2 linked regions of the Macaca mulatta genome follow. The protein of the gene in region 1 purifies or fractionates together with the protein of each later gene. This does not show direct contact. Links are inferred from orthologs where the notes say so. Each region holds a gene or a part of one and is shown on either strand. Other genes may lie near its edges. The genes, in order: ATP11A and TMEM30A.

Region 1 (7,303 bases):
CCAGTGTTTTACCACCCCAGCTAAGATCCCAGCTATGTGATTAGAGCCACAGGAACCTTCCAGCCCCAGCTGAGCCCCCAGAAGAATGCAGCTGCAGGAGAATCCCAGCCAACACCAGGTGGAGCAGAAGCACCATGTCGCCAATTCCACAGGGTCCCGAGAGATGGTAACCCACTCACTGTTGTTTCAGCTCCTGCACTCGCGGTCACTCATGACACAGCCAAAAATAACTGACTCACAGGGTGTCTTAGTCTGCTCAGGCTGCTGTAACAAAATCCTTTAGATGGCTATTCATACACACAGAAGTTTGCTTCCCACAGTTCTGAAGGCTGAGAAATCCAAGATCAAGGTCCCAGCAGATCTGGCATCTGAGAAAAGTTCTCTCCCTCATAGAAGGCCTCTTCTAAGCGTCTTCATATGGCAGAAAGGGCAAGCAGGCTCCCAAAAACCTGTTTTAAAGGGCACTAATCCCATTCCTAATCACCTCCCAAGGCCTCCACCTCTTGATATTTGGGATTAGTGATTAGGTATTTGGGATTAGATTTCTACATGTGAATTTGGGAGGACACTTTCAAACCATAGCACGGGGTGAGTTGGACTTTGTTTTTTAATAGTTCTGATTTTTTTTTCCTTAGATTTACCACGAAGATGCTGACATGTGTTAGAAAATCCAGCTCATGTGGTTTAAATGAAGACATCTCTCATAGCAGGAAATTCCAGGTGAGGGCAGCAGGGTTTTGGTGAATTGTCTGATTGTGCCGAGGACCCCTGCTCTTCTCATCTTCCCAGGTGGCCAGAGTGAAGATGCTCTTCCGGCCACCTTCTCTCGTGGGTGCAAAGGGCTGTGGAGCACCAGGCATTGCATCCAGACAGGGAACGCAACATCCGCCAGGGAAAAAGGAGCATTTCCTGTTTATGTTCCTGTAGGAGTGAGAAAACCTTGGCCAGACAACCCCCAGCAGGCTTCCTGTTGGGACTCATTGACTTGAGCTTGTTTGAAGCCAATCGTTGGAAAGAGAAATGGAGCTACCAAGATTTTCTCAAAAGAGACACAGTTTACCCTCAGCCACACAGAGGGTGGATATCTGAGCCAGCAAGGATAAAGAGGGCATGGCTGCTGCCCTGTAGTATTCGCTACAGAATGAAAAATAATTCGCATTTACCACTGAATAAAGCAGACACTCCTGACAGGCAGGCAGCCTTGATACAGTGCCTTATACAACCTCTGTTTGCGCCTCCACCCCAATCCCACAGTCACAGTTTACAAGGTAGAAGCTTAGTCAAAATCCGGCTCCAGCAGTCAGAGTTCTTGCAGGAAAATGAAGGTGTTCTTAGGAGGGGATTTGGAAAGGAGTTTGATGAAGGGACTGTTTGTTGCGGTGAGGTCATGGTTCAAGGACCCTTCAAAAGGGTGCTGCTATTTAGGGACCAGAAACAGTGGCAGACCGACAACATGTTTCACCCTAAGAGGCTCGGGGGAGGCGATAAGTTCTGTTCGTAGAGCCTGGAGGAGTTATGCAATGGAACGGGCACCCGGGAAGAAGAATCTTGGCCGCAGAGGTAAACCAACACTGGAGGATGTAGGGGCAGGCGGGAAGGAGAGGGGAGCAGGCCCCTGCCTCTCTCCTACCTGGTCTGCAGCAGGTGCTCCTGTGGGTGAAGATCCACTGAGGGGCACCACCAGCTTCCGGAGCTCAGGGCAGGCTGCAGCAGGACGGGCTGGAAAATGGAGAATCGGTGATTTGGACAAGAAGTGGGAGCCGTTTACTGTTCAGTCACTACGATTATTGTTCACTAGTACTCATTTCTATTCGTCTAAAAGGTGGCTAACACCATTTCTTTTCCGCAAGCACTCGGGAGAACATTCATATTCAACTGCGTTCCTAAGACCCAGACGGGGCAGCGTTCTCCACAGGCCACCAAAAGGTGTTGTCTGTTTGGTTTCATCAGTGATTATCTATGGCAGTAAGACAGGAAGTTGGAAACCAAGTATCTCAATTAAGTCAAGGCTGGGTGGATTTAGAGAACAAAGTGCTTGTTCCCCGGGCCAGGTCACCCTAGAGAAAACAGAGGCATTCTCTGGGATGCAAATGGTAGTGTTTGTGTGGCAAATACTCCTCAGCCCAGTTCAAAGCCAGCAGCATGAAGGACACGCCACGGGGAGCTGGAGACCAGGAGAAGCTGAACTCCTCTGTGGTTCACCAACCCCTCAGGCCACCTAAGTGTCTTCCGCTGTCGCAGCTTCGGGGCCAGAGGGCCAGAGGCCGGGCCCTGGGAGCCACCGGGTTTCGGAACCGGGGCAGCCACCTGCAGAGCAGGAAAAGCCGGCGGGTCGGCGGCGCCACGTTCCGGGGCGAAACCCAGCCTCGGCTCAGATCTCCCACCCGGCCGGACTCCCGCTCTCTCCCCGCGCCCCCTCCCACACTTCCACCTCGCCCCGCGATCTCACTGCCCCATCGAGGCTTCCGGGAGGAGGAGAAAAGTTTTCCCGCAGGAACCCGGGAAGGAAGCCCTGGTACCCTGACCGAGACTCCGGGTTCCCCCAGTGCCGAGCCCCTTTCCCGCCGCGCCCCGCGCCTGCGCCCCGGGAGGCGGAAGCAACAGGGGTTCCTCCCCGCGGCCTCTGACCTCTGCCCTCTGCCCCCAGGGTCTGAGGGGCCCGGGCCGAGGCGTGAGGGGGCAGGGCTGGCGCGCCGGTGCGAGCGCGGGTGTGGGCGCGGGGCGGGCGGGGGCTGCGGCCGCGGGGCGCATGCTCACTCGCGCCGGTGACGTGCGCGCCGGGAGCAGGGGCAGGAGCCAGCGGGGCCCGGAGGCTCCAGAGGGCGGCGGGCCGGGGAGGAGGAGACTCGGGAGGAGGAGAGCGCAGGCTCCGCTGCGGCCGGAGTGCCTCAGTCGAGCCCAACCCAGCGGGCGGACCGACGGGGAGAGAGAAGGCGCCAGAGCTCGCGCGCGGCCCGGAGCAGCAGCCTCGCCGCCCGCGGAGCAGCAGCCGACGCGCGGCGCCGCGGACCCAGCATTCGCCGGCCGGGCCGGGCATGAGCGCGGAGGGGCCGCGGCCGCCCCCTGCACCGCCCGGCGCGCCCAGGCCGTGACCGGAGCAGGGGGCGCGGCCGCACTCGGACCCCGGAGCCCATGGGCGCGCCGAGCCGGGCGCGGGGGCGCTGAGCGGCGGAGCGGGAGCGGCCGGAGGAGCCATGGACTGCAGCCTCGTGCGGACGCTCGTGCACAGATACGTGAGTGCTCCCGGCGCGGGCTGGGGGACCCGGGTACCAGACAGACGCGGGGCGGCCCCGCAGCCCCGACCCTGTGGCCGGTCCAGCCCCGGGATCGTGGGAGGGCTCCCATGTCTGGGACGCTGACCGCCCCCGGGGCCAGGCGGGATGCTGGGGAGGGGCCTCGGAGTTGAGACCCTGGGGCTTCCGACGGGGTCTAGGTGGGCACAGCGCACGGCCCCCGCCTGAGGCCGCCACCTGCTCTCCTGCCGCGGCCGCCTCGCGCCCCCTTCCCGCCCGCAGCGCCCTGGGGGTTCCTCGGAGAGACTGGCTGGGGTTCGAGCCGTCCCGGCGGACCGGGCGCCCGGAGAGAGCCAACTTCGACCCCACCGGGGCCCGGGTCCGGGGAGGAACCTTCAGATGCGGCTTCCGCGCAGCCGTGTCTGCGGGAAGATTAAGAGATTGGGAGGAAGCGTTACACTTCTGCAGAAAAAGCTAGCAAATGTGTTTGTTCTTTAACACCCCGGGGGATTCAGAAGCGGAGTTGGAATCTTTTTATTTTTTACCTTAAAGTAACCGATTAGATCAGAAGTTCGGGTCTTCTTGGGTTCCTCCGGAATCTGCCCCTTCAGTGATAAGCCAGTGAAGAGCTCAGGAGGGAAGACTCGGAAGGAGAAAAGTTGATTTTATTTTACACCAGAGGAGGGGAAACCGGAATCCCTGGCGTTAGGTGTAAAAAGGGGTGTGTGGCCGGGCGCGGTGGCTCACTCCTGTAATCCCAGCACTTTGGGAGGCCAAGGCGGGCGGATCATGAGGTTAGGAGTTTGAGACCAGCCTGACCAACATGGTGAAACTCCGTCTCTACTAAAAAATACAAAAATTAGCCGGCGTGGTGGTGGACGCCTGTGATCCCAGCTACTCAGGAGGCTGAGGCAGGAGAATCGCTTGAACCCGGGAGTCGGAGGTTGCAGCAGTGAGCCGAGATGGAGCCACTGCACTCCAACCTGGGTGACAGAGTGAGACTCCGTCTAAAAAAAAAAAAAGTGTATATGTGTGTGTAGAAGAGGAAGAAAACTGTCCCAAGCACAGCGTTTCCTGCCACTGTCTTGCACAAGAGGCATCATTGTTCCATAGAGGCTGGCGGTCAGTGGTCAGTCACAGGTTCGAGAAGTCGCATGCACCGGGTTTGGTACTAGAGAGGGCAGTATTATGGGAACTTTGTTCTTTCCCGGCATAGGAATTACCTCAGGCAGCCTTTCATATTTATGAGCTTTCTTTAAATAGGAGACCTTGGCCAAAGATAGGTTTCTTTTCAGCGGAGGATGCCAGATCAATGCTTTCCCCCGGATTTATATACTAACCAAAAACCTCGGAGAGTCAAGGGGGACTTGAGTGCACCTTACATTGTTTCCTGATGTCGGGGAAGCCTTAGGAAGGTCAGCCTGCTTTACTTAAGTGGAGAGAACTCACCCCTGGTGATTCTGATGATTTCGATGCTAGATCTGGAAAGGCTTAGCTGCAGGAACCTTGTGTTACCCCTTCACTGGTGCTCCAGCCCCCAATTCAAATCCTAATGTGAGTGGTAAACCTGTGTTTCACTGTGGTAACGTTATAGAAGACCCAATCACAGTGACTGTGGGTAACCTGCTGTGTGAGAGACGTGCTTTGTTGGGCGGAAGCTTCTGTTCTCAGTTGTGTCGCTTAGAAATGTGGGTCCCTAGATAACTTATTTTCCTGCCTTGTTTCCTCCGAGGGAAATGGAAGAGGGAAGGGACTAACATTCACTTTACCTGTGCCCGCGGTGTTCCCAGTTCATTCCGTTCCCTTCTAACACTCAGTGTTAAAAAGGAGGGTCACATTGTGGTGCTAATGTGCAGCCTCTTTCCATAGAAATGAGAGATGGATGCTCGGCCCACCCTGTGGAGAATCTCACCTTCCCAGCCAGTTCCTGACCCCTTCATCCTGGGAGGGGGACAGACAGACGTCCAATTTTGATGCTTTGACGCCCTTCCTTTCTCCAGGCCTTCAGCTGTTTTCTGTTATATAGATTTATATAAGTGCGTAGCTTACATTTTTAATTCCCTTTTGTTGGATTATTACGCCAGTGGCATCACATTTTCTCTTAATCTAAGGGGTCAATATTCTTTAGTGAACTTTTCCAGCATGTACGTTATTTGATAACATCTTGGAAATACAAGTTGTGGGATAGTATTATTTCTGTTTTTCTCATTCCGCATGTGTTTTTTGCAGTGTATTCGTCTGGCTACCTCACCCATATTTACACACAAAACCATTCATCTCTATAATTTTAAGTTCATGTCTATGGTATTAAACTAATTCGACTTTTTCCAGAAACAGTCATGATCTGCTTTCTTGTTATTTCGTTATCGTCCACTATGTGGGACTAAATTATATTTCCTTTTGCTACAGAAAAAGGAGTCTGGGATTGAATACTCATATTTCCTCATGGTTTCCTTACGTGACTTACTTTATAAAAAAGGATAGATAAACAGACCCTACTCCCTCTTGGTGTTCACATAGTCAATTCCTGGGACTAAGAAAGCTTTCCAGCTCCTTCTGATGTGTGAGGGTGGCTAAAAGATAAAGAAGTCCTTGGAAAACATTGCTGTAGGCATTTTATTGTGGGTTAACTCCAGAGAGATAGCAGAGGCAAATGAGTGAGAGAACAGATGAACGATTAGGCCAGAGTACTCCACCCTGTGGGTTACTAGTTGTTTGGGTGTTTGGATGGACAGGAGCCATGCAGAGATATTTTGTATTTGTAAATGGGGCCATGTTTGTATACTATAAGGAGGTGCTTGTGTGTATGGGGTGCTGTATGCTCCATGGGGTGATGTACGTGCGTGGGGGGCGCAGGGGAGAGCGTGTGGTGCCGTGGGGTGGTGTATGTGCCGTGGGGTGGTGTATGCACTATGGGGTGGTGTAGGTGCTGTGGGAGTCGTGGGGGTGGGGAGAGAGCCTGCGTGCCGGGAGTGGTGTATGTGCCATGTGTGCCATGGAGTAGTGTACATATTGTGGAGTAGTGTTTGTGCTGTGGGGTAGTGTATATTCCATGGGGTGGTGTATGTGCTGTGGGAGCCGAGGGGTAATGTGTGTGCCGTGGAGTGGCGTATGTACTGTGGAGTAGTGTATGTGCTGTGGGGTAGCATGTGAGTCATGGGGTAGTTCCTGTGCCATGAGGTAGTTTGACCTCCATGATGTAACACTTTATTTTTTATTTATTTATTTATTTATTTATTTTTTTTTTTGAGATGGAGTCTCGCTCTGTCTCCCAGGCTGGAGTGCAGTGGCCCGATCTCGGCTCACCACAACCTCCGCCTTCCAGGTTCAAGCGATTCTCCTGCCTCAGCCTCCCGAGTAGCTGGGACTACAGGCGTCCGCCATCACTCCCGGTTAATTTTTGTATTTTTAGTGGAGAAGGGGTTTCACCATATTGGCCAGGCTGGTCTCGAACTCCTGACCTTGTGATCTGCCCGCCTCAGCCTCCCAAAGTGCTGGGATTACAGGCGTGAGCCACCGCGCCTGGCCGATGTAACGCTTTAAAAGGATGTAACGCTTTAAAACGCTTTAAAACGCTTTTAAAACGCTTTTAGGCCGGGCACGGTGGCTCACACCTGTAATCCTAGCACTATGGGAGGCCGAGGCGGGTGGATCACCTGATGTCAGGAGTTCAAGACCAACCTGGCCAACATGGTGAAGCCCCGTCTCTACTAAAAATACAGAAAATTAGCCAGGCGTGGTAGTGGGTGCCTGTAATCCCAGCTACTCAGAAGGCTGAGGCAGGAGAAATGCTTGAGCCCAGAAGGCGGAGGTTGCAGTGAGCTGAGATCGCACCATTACACTCCAGCCTGGGTAACAAGAGCAAATCTCATCTCAAATAAGAGTATTTTTTAACAGCATGGATGGAGAGCTAGTTCCATTTCCTCTTCAGAGTTGTAAAGTGGGCAACACCAATTCAGGTAGTTTAAGTTCCGAGAGAAACCGGGGCAGCCTCAGCGGGAAGCTTACTTTCCTTAGATACTCTCTGGGCAGTGGCCTGAATGCTGAGTGGGAGCCTCCCTGCCCTTCTT
Region 2 (6,751 bases), on another chromosome or scaffold:
ATAAAGAACAAATGTGAATCATATGCCTACTCTGTCACAACCACTTTTGGAAGCAAATATCAGGTCCTTATTTCTCACAGAATTAAGCAGATGCTATGCGTTTTCAAGAGATATTTAGTAATGTCTTCCTTTTCTTGTGTTTAGATACATTAGAATTGTTTCTTATTGGCAATGATTCTTATCCTGTACCTATCGCTTTGAAAAAGAAAGGTATTGCTTGGTGGACAGATAAAAATGTGAAATTCAGAAATCCCCCTGGAGGAGACAACCTGGAAGAACGATTTAAAGGTAAAACATTACTAATATCCCTTAAAAAATTAAACTAGGAGTTTTAATGAAGTATTTAAAATTTTCTGTCTTCAGAATCTTAAGGTTTATGCTTTGAAAAACACAATTTTTCTTTCCTCACCTTCATACCAAGTTAGGTAAATGTTCTAATGTACTAAAATTCTAAAGGAAATGTATACTTTTAATTATGAATTCAGTTTCTGTGGTGTCTTATAAGCATTTCAGCTATAATATTTTAGAATTGCAGCAAAGCTTCTTTTGAATAAACCCCTATTTATTATCCAAATTTATTTGTTTCTCTGCCACTTTAATTTCACAATGTAATATTTTGTCTCCTCATCCCGTCCCCACTCCTTTTAAGGTACAACAAAGCCTGTAAACTGGCTTAAACCAGTTTACATGCTGGATTCTGACCCAGATAATAATGGATTCATAAATGAGGATTTTATTGTTTGGATGCGTACTGCGGCATTACCTACTTTTCGCAAGTTGTATCGTCTTATAGAAAGGAAAAGTGATTTACACCCAACATTACCAGCTGGACGATACTCTTTGAATATCACATACAGTATCCTTTTTTGGCTGGGTATACAGATTCATAGAGCTTGAAAGGAGTCTACTCCAACCTTATATGTGTTATGTGGCATGTTACCTTGGGCTTTAGTTTTGGGATCTGCATTTTTACAAAAGTATGTGTGGTATATGCGAGAATGTATTTTAAAATTTATATCTTCTAGTAATGTTTTCAATTTGCATATACTTGGTACTGGGGTTTGAAGCATATTGTTTGGTAAATTACTTAAAATGTAGGTGATTGATTTATTAACAAGCTAGGTATTTTTAAAAGGGAGATTGTAATTGGGCCTAATGTAAAGGCCAATGAGAATACCTAAAATTGGGAGTTGAGTGGTACTGGGATGTTTTAATATATATATTTTTAGATATTAAAAATCAATGGATGTGTTAATTTGTATCAATGTAATTGTTCATAATTTTGATCTATTGGTAGTATCAAAACTCAAAACATTTTATTATTAGCTATTTTGTTCCACATTAATAAGTTCACATTCAGTGCTGATAAATAACATTTATTCCACTCTATGTGTTAACACTGTGCTGAGTGTTTTCTGCTCATTATTTAATTCAGGCAGCAGCATATCTCCCTATTATAGACCAGAACACAGGAATATCGAGCACTTAAGTAACTTACCTGACTTTACACAGGTAATAACAATGAGTTGGGGTTCATAACCAGGCTGTTGACTCCAAAGGCCATAATTTTACTCTCAGCTACCAACATAGGCTACATCTCCGCTAGTTCACTCAGTTACACCAACCCATATCTGCATAGATGCAGTCTTTATTAGGAGGGAAATAGTAATTTCTTTTATTCTAACCAAAGTCTTTACATCTTTTAATCTGGAGCCTATATTTTACATACACTGTGAGTGAAGAGATCTCCCAATGCTAGAATCTTAAATGTTTGCTGATCTTTGCATTTTTTATTTTCATAATCCAAATGAGTCATAATCCAAGTGGGTTTTGGTTTTAAAATGGGTTAGTAAATGGTTAAATTAATAGACCCAATTTAAAAATATTTTTTTTTGGATTCTAGTCTCTTGCTATTGCACCTGAATACACAAGTAAATATGGCCTGCTATGGCAAGCTAAAAGTGACCAAGTTTTTGAAACTAAATCCACATTGGAGCAGTTTTGGACAGACAGACCCAGTTCAAGTGCTGATTTCTAGAACATTATCCTGAGGAGATAGTCAAACTAGAGAGCAGCTCTGTTAAAATTAGCATCCAGAAAATCTCTAGAGAGTAAGGGCACATTTAGCAACCTGTAGCCTAGGGCACAATGAAGGGAAGTCTGTGAAGCACTGAGGAATTCTTAGTTGATAGATAATTGCCACACAGGAATTCCGCAGCAGGGTCCCAACTTTGAAAGAACTATCTAAAGGAATGCATGATATATGGCAGATTGAGAAGACTTGATAAGACCGGAATTTGGACCTGCAAAACATCAAGGGTTAATTTTCAAAATTGGGCATACGGTGGGAACTGAAGACTTCTAGAATGAAGGCAGAAGCCTGTTTCTTTAGGGTTGGGATGCTAGAGAGAGACTAGCATGGGCAATTTGATACTGTATCCCACAGAATGTTGGGTTAGCTAGAGGTCTCAAAATCATTCCTGCCTTAGTTTAGGGTTGGTTTAAGAAGTTAGCAGAACCGAACCTGCCATTGGGAGTTAGGGACCCATAGGGACCCATCTGTGGGGATGGAGAGTTGAAGAAACTAGAGAAACAGATAGGGCCTAACCCTAGATTCAAAAGATGCTTTTGAAAAAGTTGTAAACTTTTTGCATGGAGACTTGGTTCTGGCTTCTTCGCTACCTTACCTCTTGCAAAATTCTACAACTGGTCCATGTAGATAATTCATCTAGTATACTGGTGCCCTATTTCCTAAATCTCCTTAACAGCCCACCCTTCACTTCCACTGTTAGCTATCAGCTGTGTCACAGAGTGAGTTTTGCCATTGCTCTAAATCAGCAAGTTAAAACTTTGTTATGCTTTTTGACCTTTTGCTCAGAGCCTTTTCATAGTCTCATAACTACACTCTTGCTACATGTTCTTTGAGCTCACAGAGACTTCTAGTCCCTGATTTTTTCCATTTTCTCCTGGTCTGTCAGTCTCCTTGTGTGGACTTCATTGTTCACTTGAACTATTTTTTTCACATTGCATTCCTTTGAGGCCTTTTGCCCCTTCCATGTAATGAGACCAAAAGCACCTGAGAAACTGCGTAACCTTTACATTTTGTTTGTTTTGGTAAAATATTTTGGCTTTTACTACTGACATTTAATTTGCTAAATCAGTCTTTCAAGATAATATTTTGTGTGTGTGTGTGATTTAGAACATGGGAGTAAGGTACCTGTATATCCTAGAATTACACAAATGAATTACCAGCAATTAAATGGCAACTTTTAAAATTATATTTTAAACATCAAGTAACCAGAGATGGAAAAATCTTCCTATACCCTCTTCAGATTACCCTGTACATTATTTTGATGGACGAAAACGGATGATCTTGAGCACTATTTCGTGGATGGGAGGAAAAAATCCATTTTTGGGGATTGCTTACATCGCTGTTGGATCCATCTCCTTCCTTCTGGGAGTTGTACTGCTAGTAATTAATCATAAATATAGAAACAGTAGTAATACAGCTGACATTACCATTTAATTTATATTATGAAAGCAAATCATCTGCATGTGCATCAAGGCCAGTCCTATTCAACCTAGCTTTCGAATGCTGATGTCTGGTTAGTATGTCATTTTGAAGTTGGCACATAACTTTTCTAAAAAAAAAAGCAGTCTTTGTTGTTTGCTTCTTCCCTATGGATGACTTCTGAAAATATATGACGGGTATAAAAAAATTAGCTATATTGATCATATCAACACTGTAATTGCTGAAATGGCATTCTAATGTTTGCTTTTTATTGGGACAGGCCACATGATGCATAGAGCCTCTTTCATGTGACTTGTGTCTACTGCTTAAATCTTTATGCTGTGTTGATGATATTATATTGACATATGATGCTATATATGTGTATGTATTTTGTGGAGAAAGGGATTACAAGATGTATGAGTATAACGACTTGCTAACCTTTCAGGATTCAGAGAAAGATGAAGAAAGACCATATCTAAATAATATACTTCATCGTTTTCATGTGTATAAATGCTTAAAATACCATCTTTGTTGAGGTGGTTCATGTATCCAGTTTATCCAGTACAGTTATTTGTCAAGCTTAGCTTTGATTTCAAAGGACATGCTTACCTTATCTAGCATAAGAATTAATGCTCCTGTCTGCAGTGGTTGGGTAGGTCCTGCTTAGGAGAATTAAAAAATTCCTCTTTCCATTTGGTTAAATGTTGCAGTCAGGAACCCCAACTCACTTGGAATGTTTTTATATGTAATCATTTCCCTTGAAGCTTATGCTTTGTAAGGGAAGAAAGAATTCAGGTGATAATGGGAAAACTGCTTGGCAGAGCTTCATCTTCTGCCTCAACTGTAAACCACATGTAAATGCTTAATGGAGACTGTTTTCATTCTTGTGATATTTAACATTCAGAAAATTACTTCAGCTTTGGAAATACCTCAGGCTGTTTTTATTTTGCAGGTAAGTGTTTTGACTTAAGTACTAATATTCCAGAAATTTTTGAAAGCAGTAACCTTAATTTCCTATGTATTTCATTCCACTTTTGCATATAGGTCAAATGGCAATGTGTATGCACATTCTCTTTAGTTAATGCACCAATTGTTGTGGTTGGTTTTCCTAAGACATACTTTAAAAAGATGTTCTGTAAATTTCCTAATTAAATTATGGGGATTTTGGAGTATGTACATGATAAATTATAATATGTATATGGTTGAAGTTATTTTATTTTTTACTAACTGGAATTATTTTAATATTCCTTATTGAATAAATGCTGTAACTTGTTTGCTATGGAACTTATTCTTAAAGTTCTAGTTAAAAATAATTTTTCCACATGCATGAAAATGTATGTATTAATCAGAGGTGGCTTGATTACATTGAAATTGCTTTATTATTGTTGTTGTTGTTTTTTTTTTACTGAAATAACTCATGTTTGTGTAGAAGAATGCCTGTTTATTCAGAGTTTATATTTTCCTTCAGTTATATTTTAAATCAAAAGGCCTGGGTAATGTATACTTTTGATTAATATATACTTTTTTTAAAAAACAAAAAGCAATGTAATGGTTAATAGTAGAAATGTGCCACACTTTTCAAGTTTTATATAACATATGAAATTCAGTTAAAAGAATGTGTATTTCATAATGACTTTTAACTGGTAAAAATATTACTTGCACGAAGTACTTGATGTATGGTTATCCTGAAATTTTGGAGTATTTGGTGTGTTCTTTGTCTAAAAATAGTCTTTGTTTTGTCAGTCCTTCAGAATGTTATTTATTCTGAAAATTGTCCCTCTTGCACTTGGCAGTTTATTTTCTGGGATACATTGTTGGGGGAGAGGGGTTTCGCCAGTCTTTCCAGATTGAGTCTGTGCTGTTTAAGGAGGACTACCATCCTGCAACTCTTTTTCTAATTGGGGCACAGAGAGGATGTCAGTAAAGAAAAGTTGAAGAGCCCTTTCAGCATTTTCTCATCTGTGGAGAAGATAGAATCTTAAAATACATTTGGAGTTTTATCTGTTTTACAAGTGCATTGATGGCCTAAGTTCCTCCTATTTTCTGCTGTTTGATCTCTAAGGAACTCCTGTTGCTAAATATGAAGAGTATGGAACATTCATATGGTCTCTGTGAAGCATGGGGGGAGGGAATACATTTCTTTTTCTTATAGGCTTTATGCTCAAATGTCATAGTCACCTTTCAAAGAATCATGTTGCATTTTAAATGCAGCCAGCTTAATTGAAGGATGCATTAATTTTCAGGAACCATTTTGAATTATGAAAATATTCCCAGTTGAAGAAATTATTCAATAAGTAAAAGCTAAGAAATGTCATTGAAATCATAAGGCAGTTTAAGCATAAATTGATAAAAATAGCTGTGTACTACTAATTAATAGAAAATCATTCAACCAAGAGAAGAGTCAAATGAATATCATTTGTTTATTGGCTAGTGAGTTTCTTTGTAACCTTGATTTTATTAAGTAATATTCGGTTAGTATGTCCTGTTAATAAAAATGAACAAAATTAATTTTGCTATGTTCAGGTGTCTTGATAAAATAACAACGCCCCAGTGTTGTTGCTTATGTTTAGCACTAAATTTTAACACAGGGTCAGTGAGTCCAGGTTTTAACTTCTTCATGCCTGGATGGGATGAAATGTAATTCATTGTTAAATTAATGCATATTTGTATTTATTAATCACTGTGACAACATTAACCATCTGTTCTTACCAGGAAGTGGTCATATTATCATCTGAGTTACAGTTAGACTGGCTAAGTTTGGTATTAGATCAAGGGGAATGTCCAGTAAACAGAGAGGTAAGGATGATGAAAATAATGAAGTGGGGCACACAGGAAAAACCTGACTGCTGAGGAAGAGCAGCTGAGAGATAGGGTCAGTGAATGTGGTTCAGCCTGCTACCTCTCCTGTCTTCATAGAAGCATTGCCTTAGAATTATTGTATGACACTTTTTTTGTTGGTTAAGCTGTAAAGTTTTGTTCTTTGTGAACATGGGTATTTTGAGGGGAGGGTGGAAGGAGTAAGGAAGTGCTCCTTTTACAAGAATTTCGATGCATGAGTGTCTGTTGTAGGGTTCGGATGATCTAGTAAAGTGTTTTAGAACCCCTTTTTATCCCATGCACCATTTGGTAAACATAAAAGTCACAATTCTGCTAATGTCATTTGGAACTTCAAAATAAATATCTTGTCTAAAAACAAATCAGACAATGGTGGCCTTATTTCCTTTTATATATCTATAAATT

Evidence for each region.
Region 2: the proteins of ATP11A (region 1) and TMEM30A purify together in Homo sapiens (co-immunoprecipitation; 4 studies listed by BioGRID and IntAct, with this or other methods). This does not show direct contact. The link is inferred for Macaca mulatta from reciprocal best matches to the Homo sapiens genes ATP11A and TMEM30A.

Annotation. Positions count from the first base shown.
Region 1 is NC_133422.1:106,942,226-106,949,528, forward strand, and holds the start of ATP11A (phospholipid-transporting ATPase IH), read left to right. Parts: upstream 1-2,755; 5' UTR 2,756-3,194; coding exon 3,195-3,233; intron 3,234-7,303. Other genes in the region: uncharacterized protein LOC114673506, read right to left, coding at 1,631-1,719, 2,629-2,751. UniProt on the Homo sapiens protein: Catalytic component of a P4-ATPase flippase complex which catalyzes the hydrolysis of ATP coupled to the transport of aminophospholipids, phosphatidylserines (PS) and phosphatidylethanolamines (PE), from the outer to the inner leaflet of the plasma membrane.
Region 2 is NC_133409.1:110,482,599-110,489,349, forward strand, and holds the end of TMEM30A (cell cycle control protein 50A), read left to right. Parts: intron 1-144; coding exon 145-288; intron 289-649; coding exon 650-856; intron 857-3,332; coding exon 3,333-3,526; 3' UTR 3,527-4,773; downstream 4,774-6,751. UniProt on the Homo sapiens protein: Accessory component of a P4-ATPase flippase complex which catalyzes the hydrolysis of ATP coupled to the transport of aminophospholipids from the outer to the inner leaflet of various membranes and ensures the maintenance of asymmetric distribution of phospholipids.